Linked DNA regions of Struthio camelus. The protein of the gene in region 1 purifies or fractionates together with the protein of each later gene. This does not show direct contact. Links are inferred from orthologs where the notes say so. Each region holds a gene or a part of one and is shown on either strand. Other genes may lie near its edges.

Region 1 (7,397 bases):
CCCATCAGCCACTCACAGCAAGACAGCAAGCTGCAGGGCAATGTTTGTCCCTCTCTCACCCTTGCCAGGTTTCAGACCCAGGACCTACCACACGATTCAGCTCTGGGCTGTCCGGATTGTTGTCCTGGAAGTATTCCACCGCCTTCTGGATTTTGTCCATGCAATTCAAATATTCTTCCAGCCTCCCAGTGGGGCTGGAAAAAAAAAAGATAGAAAACAAACAAAGAGAGAACCACAGTGATCCAAGGAGTGAAGGAAGAAGATAAAGATATCAAGAAAGGACCAGACTAGACTCAGGATGAAAACATCAGGGAAAACTTCAATTCCCTTTTCTCCTACTAGGAGATCAGGGAATTCTTTTTGCCTCCACTCACAACAAAAAACCCAATTCAGACAGCAAGCGCAGAAGTACTGGTCACTCAACAGCCCACAGCTCTCACCCCTCACCCTCCTCTCCCGGCCAGACCCTAATGTGAAGGTAGATGAAGCTGCCCATCCCATCTCAGAGGAAAGGCCATCACAACACCCTACTGGAGACTGCAAGCAGGCTCCAGAACAGCTCAATTTATTCTGGATGCGGTGACAACATTGACAGGGCAGGAAGAATCTTTGGGAAAAGGGCAGAGAAAAGAAGAGAAACGACCAAAGTTCATGAACTTCATGTGGGAGCACGTGTACAAAACCTGGAAGGGACACCAGTGCAAGGTCTGAACAGGCTTTGCCCTCAGAAGACTGCTGAAGGTCTAATCAAAAAGCTTTCTGGGGGACTGGCGGAAGGGAAAGAGAGTGGGAAAGGTACAAGGAACACAAAGATGAATGCGGGGAGTCAGTTCCTACACCTCAGTCCCAAAAGATCAATGGGATGAAGCTCCCCAGTAAGGTCTAGCTGCTCAACTCACCCTTCCTTTATGATCTTCTCTGTGTCCTTAGCCACATGGTAGTAACTGATGACATGATCCAAGCAGGACAGGGTCTTCTCCACGTTCTCCTGCAGGCGCTGCAGGTTCTCTGTCTGTTTATGGACAGGGATGATAGAGTTCTCCAGCTTCATCAAACGACTTTCAAAGGAGGAGAGGATAGAAACCTATATACCAAGAGAGAAACAGAGCTGAGGACATCCTTCTACATGGATCCACACAGTAGGTTAGCAGTTAGAGTAGAGCAACCAGGGACCTTCAGGTCCCAGCTTGTCTTTCGGCTCTTCTACTAGTTTGCCATGGCTCCTTAGGCTAGCTGTTTAATCCCTCTATTTCCTAATTTCCATTAATACTTACAAAACAGATCACCTGCCATAAAAAGATGGGTCAATCTTTAATTAAATGGTATGTTATTTGAATGCTTTACAAACAAGACAGTACTAAAGAGGAACAAAATTTTATTTGAGAGTAGAAAACAGATCCACAGGAACTGCCTGGAGGTGCCTTAAGTAACAAGGACAACAAAAGCAGAACCCAGCATCCACTCTCCTACGTACCACGAAACGCAAAACTGAGATGTGCAACACAAAAGCACAGGAATGACCATTCTGACCACCTCTTGAATCACACACATTTGGTTTTTAAAAGATAGATACTATGATATCACTTCTGAAGAGTGGGAAAGCTCAGCAGACCCATAAAGAATGTGTAACTGTCATCTTTTCTAGCTAAAAATACAATTCTTTCAAGATGTGCTCCTAGGATGTATTTTCCAAACTTCTCAGACAGTGCCTCTATGACTTTCTTGAAATGCTGAGCCCAAAACTGGGCACAGAATGCTAGCTAAGGGCTCACCAGCGCTAATTAGAGCGCACTAATTACTTTCTACCTCTCACACAAAACACTCCTAAAATAAACCCCAAACAAGATCTGCCTTTATGGAGCAACAACATAATGCTGTTGCACAATCCAATCTGGGGTCTATTAATACCTCTTCCCATGAGGGAGGGCAGTCTGTAAAGAGATGAGACCAATAGCTCATTTGAGCCCAGCCCTGAAGCTCGGGACCGAAACATTCACCAACCTTCCCCGTTGAAAAACCAGGGAAACCTAAAATACTTGCAGAGCGAGCGGTGTCTTCCTCCACATACCTCAGACGTGCATACTGAGAGCCTTGGAAAGGATCCTCCTAACAGAGAGCAGTCCCAAGCCCAACATTAGGGCTGAACTTCACAGCCTTCCTTACCATGTTTTTTGTGAGTTGGTCGCTTTTCTCAAGGCTCTCTTTGATGAAAGAAAGAGTTTCTTCTTCCTGTCGTTAGCAAGGAAAAAACAGGCTTCAATTCTGAACACTGAGGATTTAGCTCATGCAAGATCAGAGCCAAACAATATTTCTGGATTTTTACAAGTCCTGTTAATCACTACAGCAAACCATGCTTGATCTGACGCTAAGGTCACATTTCAACATGCCACCTCTTAAAAGAAATCCGGATAATTAACCCATGGCGAGAGACCCATCACATCATAAACAAGATTTTTAAGGATTACGCATTTCCCTCCAACATCCCGAGTCCCAACACCTTAGCAGCACGCTTTGCTGTCAAAGCGCAACAGAAAATTAACACCTTCACCACAGAGGCACCCTGATTCAGGCGGCACGTCTCCCGGGGCGCTCTATAGGCAACAGGGGTATTCCACAGGCATCACGTTTCAGGGGCAGCCGTGAACCTGCCGCGACACAACCGCCGAGGGCTGGTTCCGAGCCACCGAGGCCCAGAGACGAGGGGGGACCAGGGCCTCTCTCCTAGGCGACGAGCAGAGACCCCCAGGCCCGGCGCCCGCGGCCAGGCCCGCAGCAGGCTCCCGGCCCAGCCCCACCTGCTTGAGCTTGCCCTCGATCTCCCTCCGGCGGGCCGACACCTCCTCGGTGGGGATCATCCTGCCGCGGGGCGCCGAGGTCACCCTCCGCCGAGAGACCCCTCGCCGGTCACCCTCTTCCGCCCCCCGTCACCCTCGCGGCGCCATCTTGGGAGCGGCAGCACGCACTGCGCATGCGCGCTCGGGCCAGCCGCCATCTAGAGAGTGGCCTCCACATAAGGGGGGCCGGAAGGACGGGAGGGGTGGGGCGCACGCGCAGTGGGGGGCAGGTCCGCTGGGTGAATTGGCGCGTGCGCACTGCCTGCCGGCCACCTTGAGAGTGGCGGGGAGGCCGGGCAGCCATATTGGGAGTGGCGTGGGGCGTTCCCAGTGCGGCTCCCCCTTTCTATGGGGAGCGGGCCTGGCTCCCAGTCCCCACCGCCCACTGCTCCCAGTTACGGCCTGGCTGAGCCCAACCTCTCCAACCCCGGTGCCTGCGACAGGGCTGTCCCGACACCCCCTTGGCGGGAGGCCTGGCGACAGCCGCCGGGGGTGGGAGCGAGGGTTGGTTCCCCCCCCCTACTCCTGCGCTGGCTTTTTGGCCCAAACCGGGCAATCAGCCCCCCCCTTTTCCTTCCTCCCGGCCGTATCGCACCCTCGTGGCTCTCACGGCCTCCCGAAGCCGGGCCGAGCCCAGGCGGGAGGTGCCGGTGCCGCGGCCCTGCAGCCCGGGCAGCGGCCCCCTCCGCCCCGGCTCGCAGGCGATTAGCGCGGCGCCGCTAACGAAGAGCCTGGGAGCCGGCCCCGGGCGGCCGCCTCGTTTGGCCGCGAGGTGACCGCCATGTCGCCGGACGAGGATGCGCGAGCGAGCCGCCGGGGACGAGCCCTCCCCGCCGGCGCCCGAGCGCGTGCGACGAGCCCCACGTCCGCCAGATGTCCTCCAGTATCAACTTTCCCCTGCCCGCCGCTCGGCTGGCGCGGAGGCGACCGGCCGCCCCGGCCCCCGCAGAGCGGGCGAGACAGGACGTATCCGGGCAAAGCCCTCCTTCCCTCCCCACCTCGCCGCCTGCTCGGCCGACGGGTCAGGCAGAAGGGCGGCCGGCGGCGGGGGGAAGCGGGCCACGGCGGCAGAAGGGCCGCGCGAGGAAGGCAGGGCGCCGGGCAGCTCGCCCGGCGTGACCCCCTCGGCGGGTCGGATCCGGGCCCCGCTGACGGGCCGTGCACGGCGGCTGCGTCCCGGGAACGCGTCCCCGCGGGGAAGGATCTGGGGAAAATCAGGCGGTGTGCCCGTTTCATTAAATTAATCGTACGCTGCTCGCGTGAAGCGCGGGACTGCCCCGCTTGGGAAGATCCTCTGAGCCTCAGGGCGTCCTGCTGCCGCGGGATTTAGCAGCCTCGTGGTGCCCGGAGGGAGAGACGAGGGATGGAGGAAGGTTACGCAGCTTTGCTCCCGGAGTAGGAGGTGAATTATAGAAACGTACAGAAAGAGGGCAGGAGTCCAGCTCCATCTACGCCGTCCTGCATGCACGCTGCAGGGAGGCAGGCTGCCGCCGCCGGAGGGCCGCGCTCTTCTCCCTCCCCAGCGGAGATGGGGACGGGTGGTTCAGCTGGCGGTGGGGCCGCGACGGGCTGGGCATCCTCCTAAACCGCCCCCAGCCTGGAGCAGGGGGGTCTTAACCGTACGGAGGGCCCCGGCCTCCCCCTCTCTTGGGGCGCCCCAAGGCAAGGGCAGCCTTGCGCGCTCCCGTTCATCTCCCCCTTGTCACCCCAGCCCCGGCTCTGGAAGGCAGCTCAAACAAGCCCGGCGAGCCCCTTTTGTTCGACGACTTCAGTGCGTTTCGTAATCCACCTTATCACGCCGCAAACAGCTGTGCGCGGCTCTGGCTGCCGCGATGGGCGACAGCAGCGCCCGAGCGCTCTGTTTTCTGTCCGTGACGTGGCCCGGCCACGACCACGGGCCCGTGTTTTACGGAGGCGCCTGCTCTAGGGGATTTGGCCCTTTGGGTGTAAGAGAGAAGACCCCAGGCCTTGCCCCGGGCAGGCGCGCTGCCTCTCGTGCTCTACCCCCCCGCCCTGGCTGCACGTCCATGCCTTTTCTGCGCGCGTGGAAAACTGCTTTTCTCATTGCTCTTCTGCGAAGGCTCACCCGCATGCACAGGGCGGCAGGAGCGGAAAGGAAACCTGCCCTTCCCGGCCCCAGGAAGGACGCGGCGCAGGTGCTCTCCTCCAGTGCCGCCTACCCCTCGGGGCTCGGAGGCTGGAGGCGCGGGGAAAGGATGGCCCCGTCGGGGAGGTGACGACTCAGCCCCGGCCGAGCGGCTTCCGGCCACGCTGAGTCGCCCTCTCCTTCCCATCCGCGGGACGGAGGGAGAGGAAAAGCCCCTTCGTCCCCCCGGCAGGAGGGATTTTCAAGGCGGGCATGCAGGCGCTCCCCGCCTGAGCTGTTCGCCGGCTGCACCTGGACCCTCTGCTCCGAAAAAGCCTCACGTTTGGGACGGCAGAGCAGGAGCCGACAGCTTCGGGGGCCGTTCGAGGTCGGGAGCAGCCCGGGGTTCAGGCAGCTTCAGGGCCCTTTTGCTCAGCCGCGCGTTTCCGCCTTGATTTGCTCACTCAGGCAAATTTTTTGACAAAGTCCTGACAAGCTCAGTTATTCAGTAGCTCTTGAAGCGAGGATTTCCTGCACCCGGCGCCGTGAGTCAGACGCTCTTCAGCCCAGGAGGAGTTGCTGTTTAAAACCGGCCGTGTGTTGCAAAAATGGATTACGGCTGCCCGCGCCGCCGGGGCGAGCGCAGCTCCCACGCCAGCCGGGCAGCCGCCGGGAGCAGCCCGCGCGGCAGCCAGGTTCCTGCAGCGCGGCGTCTCCCAACGGGCTTTGCCCCGGGTGCGGGAGAGGAGCCGGGACCACCGTGAAATTACACAACTTTCACTGCGGGCCGAAGGGCCGCCCCAGGCGGAGAGCCCCCCCCCCCCGGCCGGGCGACCGGCCGATGCTCCCGGCCGCCCCAGCTGGCAAAACCTCCAAGCGAAGAAAGGGGGGATGCGCGCTGTCCCCTCCGCTCGCGGCGGCGCGGCGGCTCGTGGGGGTCAGCCCCCAAGCGCCGGCCCCAAATCCCCGTCTGCCCCGGCAGATCCCCCCCCCCCCCGCAGACGCAAGCTGTGCTCTCCCTCCCTCCGGCTTTATTTGCGGAGGGAATTAAGGTCCCGCTGGGAAAACCTCCCCTACGCCGGGATAACTGCCTGCAGAGCCAGCTCTAAATGGCTTTTTGTAAATGAATGACCAGGATTAACGAGGTTCCCCTCCTCGCTGTTTACTCGGCGCTCCGGCGGGACGCGGAGGGGCGCCCGGGGCCAGAGACTCCCTCCGGGGTGCGGGGTGCCTCCTGCCCGGCCCCCTCGGACCTCGGGTGCCGGGGATGGACACGCGCGTCCCAGCCCTTCCTCCCCGCTTTGGGGCCGGGGCGCGAGCGGCTGCAGCTGCCGCTGATGCCCCCTCTGCCTCCCCGCCGCGCGGCTGGGGACGGCGGCTGGGGGCGTTTGCGGTGCGCGCGGGTCGGCGCCCGATGCCTGCTCGCCCGCGACGGGGAAGCCGTGCAAAGCCTGGAGATTTGCGCATTCCTGCCGGCTAACGCGTCCCATAACCGAAAGCCGCGGGAAGGGAGCATCGCCTCCTGCGGCCCCGGCTCCCCGGCGGCACCCGCCCCACGCCGGCGGTGCCGCTCGGGAAGGAAAGCGGGTCGATCCCCGGCTCACCCCGGCCCCCTCCGCAGCGACGTCTCCGCTGGGAGCCGCCTCCGCAGCCGGCCCCAAACCCGTTCCCGGCGGAGGCAGAGGCTGCTCCGGGGCTTCTCGCGGCAGGAACCGGCCCGAAACCTCACCCGGAGACCTCGGGGCGCCGAGCGGCCCCCGGACGGGCGCGCGAGCCCCCCGGACGGGCTCCCCACTCGGTGACCCCCAAGTGACACAGTGCGGCGCGGCCGGGCACCCCGGCTGGCTGGAGGGGGCGGGCGGCCGGCCTCCCTCCCGCCTCGGCCTCCCTGCGCAAACGAGCCGCCTTCGCCGGCCGGGCGCGCTGCCCGCCGAGCTGCCTGCCAGCCCTCGTTCTTGGCCATTTCTAGGTCAACGCCCGCCGCTCGTAGCACCCTGGGTCGCGGCGGCGGTGAGCCCTCGCCCTGCCGCCTGCGCCGCTCGGGAAGCCAGGATCGCTGGGATTTGGGCTCCCGGTGGCTCCCGCTCGGTCCCAAAGACTCGTAGGATCTTCGGGTCCGGGAGACCTGCGCCCACCGCGGTCCGGCTGAGAGCAGCCGCGCGGCCGAGGGTTCGAGGGAGGACAGGGAGGTGGACGAGCACGGGCGAGCACCGGGGCGGTGGGGGGCAGCTCGAGCTTTTGGGCCATAAGGCTCAGCCCCTGGAGTCCAGCACCAAAAGCGGGCGTTCACTTGGGGTTTTTCAAGCGAGTTTTCCTGGAACAAGTCACCTCGCAAACAGGCTTTTGAAAGAAATCCCCGGGCCCCGGCGCTTTGCTTGCAAGCCTGCCAAGTTTGGCACTTGGCGCGATGCAGCTGCCCGGAGGAGGAGGAGGAGGAGGAAGCAACGCCGGGACTTCTCCGGCGGCTCGGCCCCACC
Region 2 (7,595 bases), on another chromosome or scaffold:
TCGAATACCTTTGTCAGTTGACTTGGAATTTGACAGTTTTGCTGGCTGGGTTTTCTCTTTGGCTTTCTTGGAAAAGTTTTCTGGTTCCTTCACTTTTGTAAATGTACCTCCACATGTCTCTTGATGCTCCACCCACCAAAAGTCTCGTGCAGAGGGTGCTCTGTTCATCGAACGTTTCACATATCCAAAATAAGGTTTTCTGTATTGACAGGGGCCGTTGCATCGCCACCAATGCTGGCGATATAAATCCACTTCATCATGAAAATTATGATAAATCTAAGTTAAAAAAGAAAAAAGCCAGTAATTCAGAAAATGTATAATTTTATAAGTCAGGAGATTAATCACTAGCTCCACATTTCTTTAAAATGTAATAGTGCTCCATTCCTTTGTAATACAAGCTAAAGTCCTCCTGCATGCCAGGAAGGAAAAAAATTGTCCGTCTGGTGATAAACTGACACACTACAAAAAGCCCTTCTCAAAGTGTCATCTTCCTCCCAAAATAAACATAATTTATTATAGTAACAAACCTGAAGTCTGATAAATGGTCTGTAATGTGAGAAGCACTTGCATTGTTCCAAAGCTTATCCCCCTCCTGGACAATTGTTTTTTCTACCACTACTGTGAGAAATAGCTTCTCCATCTCTCCACCATCCTGTTTTTAATCTCTTCATGACTTTCACGTTATGTGCTATTTAGAATGCACTGTAGACAATATAAGGATTTTGAAAATCAAACTGAAAGAGCAGTATAACAGCATAACAAAATAAATTCTCACTTCATCATCTTAATTGATCGTCAGAGACATGAATTTTAAATGCCATGTTCAATCACCCATTAGCTCCTATTGAGACAAATCTTAACTGAAACAGATTATTCTGAACTTCTGTACTTCAAGTTTAAAACAAACTTGAAAGGAAAATACTTTCAGAAGGTGTATATGATAATTACATGAGTCTAACAACCCTCCACATCTTCCTCAACACGTTCCCTTCACCATCACCAACAAAATAACTACTGAACTGGCAAGCAGTCCAATGTAAATTTGTATTGGTGTCTACTAAGAAATACAGGTGTATTAATCATACCACATTTGGACTATTCAAACACATGGTACTAAAACAGGGAAAAAGTTGTATTACACAACATTAAGTGGATTGTGCTTACCGTGACATTGGCTCCAGTTAAGCGATTAATGCGACGCATGTGTTTGCGGAACTCTGGCCCATGAGATTCACGATCTTTGTCATTATTAGTAACAAACAGCAGGGCATGGATCATTTCATGTAACAGTGTCTGAAACAAGGCTAATCATCAGCTATTTACGGAAAGGCATTGCATACAATTTCTAAATTAAGCTGCAAGCACTTTTTAATTTATGCTACTCTACATTAATCTTGGTACTCTTTGCGTGGTACCTTACTCTCACGCGTACACTTGTTCAATCTCGGTTATAAAAACATAACGCTTATTCTACCTGCCAAATCAAATCAGCTATTTCCACACAACCTAAACATGCTAAAGAATGTTATTTTAACATTTGATTCTCCAAAGAGGTAGAAATAATCCCCAAACTCAACGTCAGATCTTCAAGAAGATCACCCCCTCCTCACCACCAAACAAAAGAGACTTTTGAGAAGAACGCAGAAACTCTGCAGCACTTCCATTCACTAAGCAAATCCAAATGTTGAGGCAACTCATATAAGCAGATCTGGCAGAGGCACGAAAAGCAATGCAAAGGTATGTTCACAGTCATAACCCATAGCCCTATTTTCTGTTAATGGCCTTTTAACCTAAAAGGCGAAACTAAAGCATTTTCTCAAACTTTCTGGGTGTATTTGTGGTTTTGATATCGTAGGATAGCTTTGGAGCTAAAAAGAAGTCTTTTCCCCCTTTATAAAGTGAGTAAAATAAACAAGTGACTGTAGACTCCCATTCAAGAGTTTTCCATTTAGAAACATACAACTGAGAATACTATAGAATTGCCCATAAAAGCAACACAAACATAGCAATAAAGCCACCGCTATTTTGTAATCTATAAGTCACTGCTCATAAGAACGCCATAATAAAATGTAAAATGTGTGTGCAGGGAAGGGGTTAATACATTTTATGTACAGATTAATGAACAATCTTCAAATACCTCAACAAGATCCTTCCTTGGTCTTAACTTCAGAAGTGGCTCACTTAGACGAATGGAACACATTCCACCTTTTCCTTCATAGCTACATACTCCTGCACAGCTGAAAGAGATGCAGAAACAAAATATAAGTTACTTGATTCTGTAATATATGAAGAAAATTGAAAATCAAGAGTTAAAATGCTTGCCTCTTCCAATACATGCTAAATAATTTAGAATATGAAAGACTGTTAGAAGCTACTCGAAGAACTCAAGTTCATTAACCAACAAAAAACAAGCAAATTCTTCAGAATAAGCTGTTTGCGCTACTAGAAGCTCAACTGTAATTTATTAGATGTCTTACAATCACTTAATTCAAAGCTAACAATCCTGAAAAATCACAGTAGAATGCTCCAAGCTCATTTGTTCATGAGGTAAATTAGCGTTCTCATTCAGACTCCAGATGGAGTGAAAAACATAAAACAGAGGCTGCTCTTTCACAGCAGCCAACACTGACCTAGCTGCTGGTTGCTGCAGTTCAACCCTCAGCTGCACACTCTCCCCTGCACAGCTGCACAGTTCTGCCTCTTACTGGACTTTTACATGGTCACTTCAGCACAGTAATACAGCAGAAAACATTTTGCTGTTGTTGCATTAGTTTTCTGTAAGCACAATATACTCAAATATTTCCAAATGTGCAAAGAGCACTGCAATCAGCAAAGGACAAGGAGGGGGAGGGACTCCAACATCCTGCAACTGTATTAGCTGATCTGCTGCAGAACTGCAACCTGCTTTTATCTTTTTTTTTTTTTAAGTCTACTCTAAATCTTGTTAACATGCTCTTATGCATTTATTCACATTTGCCTTTCTACTATGCTGTAAAACTATAAAAGAAATTCAAAATAGCAACAAAAAAACTCACCAATATAAATATGTTTAAGTAAGTTTTCAAATACACAATTTAAGACCAATTTATTTATTCCACTATAACAGTTTTGTCTGCACACTGAGAAAGCCATTTATGGTTGCCCAAGCTTACAAATGAAGGACAAAATAGATACCAACTGTGACAGATCCACATCCTGGGCAGAGGTACAACCTATGTTAGAAAAAACAGGAAACTCCAATACCTAGAATTTAAGCTGTGGAACTGGTAAGTGTAGTCTACTAAGACATAGTTAGTAACAGCATATAGTGACAAGCGACAGGTCGGTTTTCCTCCTTTCCCCAAAAGTCTAAGACTGTATCGTGAGATGAATTATTGTTTGCTTGATCAGTCACAACCTTTTCCAAAGGCTCAGACACAGCAATTAAGAACTGCTTGGACTGTTCACGAAAAGCATCGCAGCTCACTCATGACAGCCTAAGTCTCTGCCAGTGGGAAAACTGACGCTAGTGAAAGCGCTTCACCATGGCTGCTCTAGGGGCTCAGGAAGGACCGGCTTCCCGGCCCCGCCGCTTCGCGCCCTTTTCTGGGCGCCCCCCGAGTACTTCGGCTCCCCGCACAAGCGAGGGCTCTGCCTCGTTGCTGGCCGCTTTCCGTCAGGGCCGGGAGCGAGGAGGGGCAGGGCGCACTCACACGGACGCGACCGAGAGCCTGCGCTCTCCTCCCCACACAGGGCCACCCTCAAAACCAACAGGCAGACGAAACAGCCCCACCCCTACAACCGCCTCCCCCAGCCGTTACCGTACAGGGTCATACGCGGGCTCCACGACACCTCCACCGCCGTCAGGCGCCCCCAGAAGAGCGCCTCGTTGAACTGCACGAAGAGGCCGTGCACGTCGGGGCTGGGGTCCAGCAGCTCCCAGGCCTCGTCCACCACCGAGAGCGGGCGAAGCAGCGAGGAGTCTAACGAGGCCTCAGGGCACGCAGCGGCGGCCGCCGCCGCCTCCTTGTCCTCCGCTTCCCACAGCTCCTGGAGCTGCAGCGCCAGCACGAAGTCATCCTCCTCCTCCATCCTGAACGGCACCGACGCCAGCGTCACCGCCCGAGCTGCTCAACCGCCGCCCAACCGCCGCCGCCGCCGCAGCCCAGGAGGCACCCAGCCACTGCGCACGCACACACCAAAAGAGCTCCAGCCCCGACGCACACTCCTTGCGCCACAAACGACGCGCCGCCGCCGCCGCCGCCGCCGCCCCGCTCCGACTACGCATGCGCTCGCCCTAACGGCGCGCCCACTAGCGCTGCTGCTCCCGGCTGCGCGCATGCGCACAAGCCGGGCCCGGCGCGGGACTCCTCCTTCCCGGCGCGCGACTCCTCCTTCCCTGTGCGCACGCTCGCGAGGGCTGAGGGCGCTTCCGCTCTACGCCTGCGTCTGCGCCTCGCCTCGCGTCGCTCCGAGCCGAGCCGAGCAGAGCCGAGCGCGCGTGCGCGGCGGCGCGGCGATGCTGGCGCAGGCGGCGTACGTGCCGCTGTGCGCAGGCGCAGCAGCGGTCTCCCCGGCGGCGGCGGCGGCGGCGGCAGGGCGGACGCCGCGCCGCGGGGCTGGTGGCGGGGCGGCGCGGCGGGGCGGCCTCGCCGCCGTGGCGGTAGCGATGGCGCTGTCGCTGGGCGAGGGCGGCGGGAGCCGGCTGCGGCGGCAGCTGGAGTCGGGCGGTTTCGTGGCGGCGGAGTACGTGAAGCAGCTGTCGCAGCAGTCGGACGGCGACCGGGACCTGCAGGAGCACCGGCAGCGCATCCAGGCGCTGAGCGAGGAGACGGCGCAGAGCCTGAAGCGCAACGTCTACCAGAACTACCGGCAGTTCATCGAGACGGCGCGCGAGATCAGCTACCTGGAGAGCGAGATGTACCAGCTCAGCCACATCCTCACCGAGCAGAAGGGCATCATGGAGGCCGTCACCCAGGCCCTGCTCCTCCAGGCCGACCGCGACGACCCCGCCCTGGGCGCCCGCCGCGCCGCCGCCGCCGACCCCTTCCTGCCCCTCTCGGCCAAGGAGGCGGCGGCCAGCGAGGAGGGGCGGCAGCGCACCCTCACCACCCTCCTGGAGAAGGTGGAGGGCTGCCGCGACCTGCTGCCCGAGAGCCCCGGCAAGTACCTGGTGTACAACGGCGACCTGCTGGAGTACGACGCCGACCACATGGCGCAGATCCAGCGGGTGCACGCCTTCCTCATGAACGACTGCCTGCTCGTGGCCACGGCCCTGCCCAACCGCCGCGGCGCCTACCGCTATGACGCCCTGTACCCCCTCGACGGGCTGGCCGTGGTCAATGTCAAGGACAACCCGCCCATGAAGGACATGTTCAAGCTGCTTATGTTCCCTGAGAGCCGCATCTTCCAGGCCGAGAACGCCAAGATCAAGAAGGAGTGGCTGGAGGTGCTGGAGGAGACCAAGCGCAACCGGGCCCTCAGCGAGAAGCGCCGCCTGGAGCAGGAGGCCTTGCCCCGGCCTGCCCCGACACCCCCCGAATCTACTAACCCCTTCGAGGAGGATGACGAGGAGGACGAGGAGCCCCCTGCCGAGGAGGAGATGGTCGACCTCTCCCTTGAGTGGATCCAGGAGCTGCCTGAGGACCTGGACGTCTGCATCGCTCAGCGGGACTTTGAGGGGGCGGTGGACCTCTTGGATAAACTTAACGAGTACCTGGGGGACAAGCCTGTGAGCCAGCCTGTGAAGGAGCTGCGGGCCAAGGTGGACGAGCGGGTCCGGCAGCTCACGGATGTGCTGGTCTTTGAGCTGTCTCCGGACCGCTCGCTGCGAGGAGGGCCACGGGCCACCCGCCGGGCTGTATCCCAGCTCATTCGCTTGGGCCAGTCCACCAAGGCATGCGAGCTCTTCCTGAAGAACCGTGCGGCTGCTGTGCATACGGCCATCCGACAGCTGCGCATCGAAGGTGCCACGCTGCTCTACATCCACAAACTCTGCCATGTCTTTTTCACCAGCCTCCTAGAGACAGCAAGAGAGTTTGAAACGGACTTCGCTGGCAACAATGGCTGCTACTCTGCCTTCGTTGTGTGGGCCCGTTCTTCCATGAGGATGTTTGTAGATGCCTTCAGTAAGCAGGTATTCGACAGTAAAGAGAGCTTGTCTACTGCAGCAGAGTGTGTAAAGGTAAGAGTGAAAGGAAGGTGGTGTGGCATGGTGGACTAAGCAAAAGGGGGAAAGCTTGTAACCCCCCGTTTCTAACCCTAGCTCAGTTGTGGACTCGGACTTTGAGCATGTTGCTTGAAAAAGTTTCCTGCATTGACGAGTTAAGATCATTCATTTGGTGTTTGTTTGGCGCTTTTTTTAAATTTAACCAAAAAAAAAAGCATTTAAGACTAATAAAGTACAGAGCAAGAGAAAACCTGTGTTCACTCTTAATTTGCCTTTGTCTGGTAGGAGATCCTTAAATTTACACAGTTTATCTGAACAGTGAGTACTGTGAACACTTGTGTTTTCCAAGCCTGTACTGGACTATATTTCCTTAATTTTTTTCAAGGACTTCAAGAAGTCCTTAATTTCTCAGGTTATGGTATCTTTCAGCTGCTAATAGGAAGAAAAAAAGGTTTCTAATGTAGTTGTCTGTGGCATTTTTGACAGGCAAGGTTTGTCTTTCAGTTACTGATTTCCCATTAAAAAGGAGTTTCTTAGGGTAGGAGAAACATGTAAAACATAACTAACGGTTCCCGGTTTTCTGAGAATGAAAAATTTGGTAAACTTTTAAAATGTAAAGGGGGAATGCAAACTGATAACACACTTCACTTTTCATTAATACCCAAGGTAGCTAAAGAGCACTGCAAGCAGCTCAGTGAGATTGGACTGGATCTTACCTTCATCATTCATGCCCTTCTGGTAAAGGATATCAAAGGTGCTTTGCAGAGCTATAAGGATATCATCATTGAGGCCACCAAGCATCGCAACTCTGAAGAGATGTGGAGAAGGATGAACCTAATGACCCCAGAGGCTCTGGGAAAACTCAGAGAGGAGATGAGAAGCTGCGGGGTAGGCAATTTTGACCAATACACTGGTGATGACTGCTGGGTCAACCTTAGCTATACTGTGGTAGCTTTCACTAAGCAGACTATGGCCTTCTTGGAGGAAGCGTTAAAGCTTTACTTTCCAGAGCTGCATATGGTTCTTTTGGAGAGTCTGGTGGAAATCATCCTCGTGGCTGTGCAGCACGTTGATTACAGTTTACGGTGTGAACAGGACCCTGAGAAGAAAGCATTCATTAGGCAGAATGCATCCTTCCTTTATGAAACTGTCCTTCCTGTTGTGGAAAAAAGATTTGAGGAAGGAGTGGGAAAGCCAGCCAAGCAGCTACAGGATCTGAGAAATGCTTCAAGACTGATGCGTGTAAATCCAGAAAGTACCACCTCTGTGGTGTGAAGTCAAGTAACTGTTCTCATGAACAGTGTGTGAGAGCGCTTACAGAAAATGTTGTACATTAAATATGAACTAAATCTTTTCTGGATCCCTGAAAAACTTGGAAGTCTAACTGCAACCTTCCTGAAGCTGAAAACTTGCAATCAAAACCTGCAGTGATGAAAACCTTTTTTTT

The links. Proteins that work in one complex are often made in the same cells at the same time.
Region 2: the proteins of EXOC7 (region 1) and EXOC8 purify together in Homo sapiens (affinity purification with mass spectrometry; 4 studies listed by BioGRID and IntAct, counting the BioPlex papers as one, with this or other methods). This does not show direct contact. The link is inferred for Struthio camelus from reciprocal best matches to the Homo sapiens genes EXOC7 and EXOC8.

Annotation. Positions count from the first base shown.
Region 1 is NC_090960.1:9,002,605-9,010,001, forward strand, and holds the start of EXOC7 (exocyst complex component 7), read right to left. Parts: upstream 3,002-7,397; 5' UTR 2,856-3,001; coding exon 2,796-2,855; intron 2,230-2,795; coding exon 2,164-2,229; intron 1,085-2,163; coding exon 900-1,084; intron 195-899; coding exon 89-194; intron 1-88. UniProt on the Homo sapiens protein: Component of the exocyst complex involved in the docking of exocytic vesicles with fusion sites on the plasma membrane.
Region 2 is NC_090944.1:91,124,695-91,132,289, forward strand, and holds the start of EXOC8 (exocyst complex component 8), read left to right. Parts: upstream 1-4,586; 5' UTR 4,587-4,648; coding exon 4,649-6,163; intron 6,164-6,814; coding exon 6,815-7,423; 3' UTR 7,424-7,595. Other genes in the region: DNA-dependent metalloprotease SPRTN, read right to left, coding at 9-276, 1,165-1,293, 2,138-2,237, 3,806-4,071. UniProt on the Homo sapiens protein: Component of the exocyst complex involved in the docking of exocytic vesicles with fusion sites on the plasma membrane.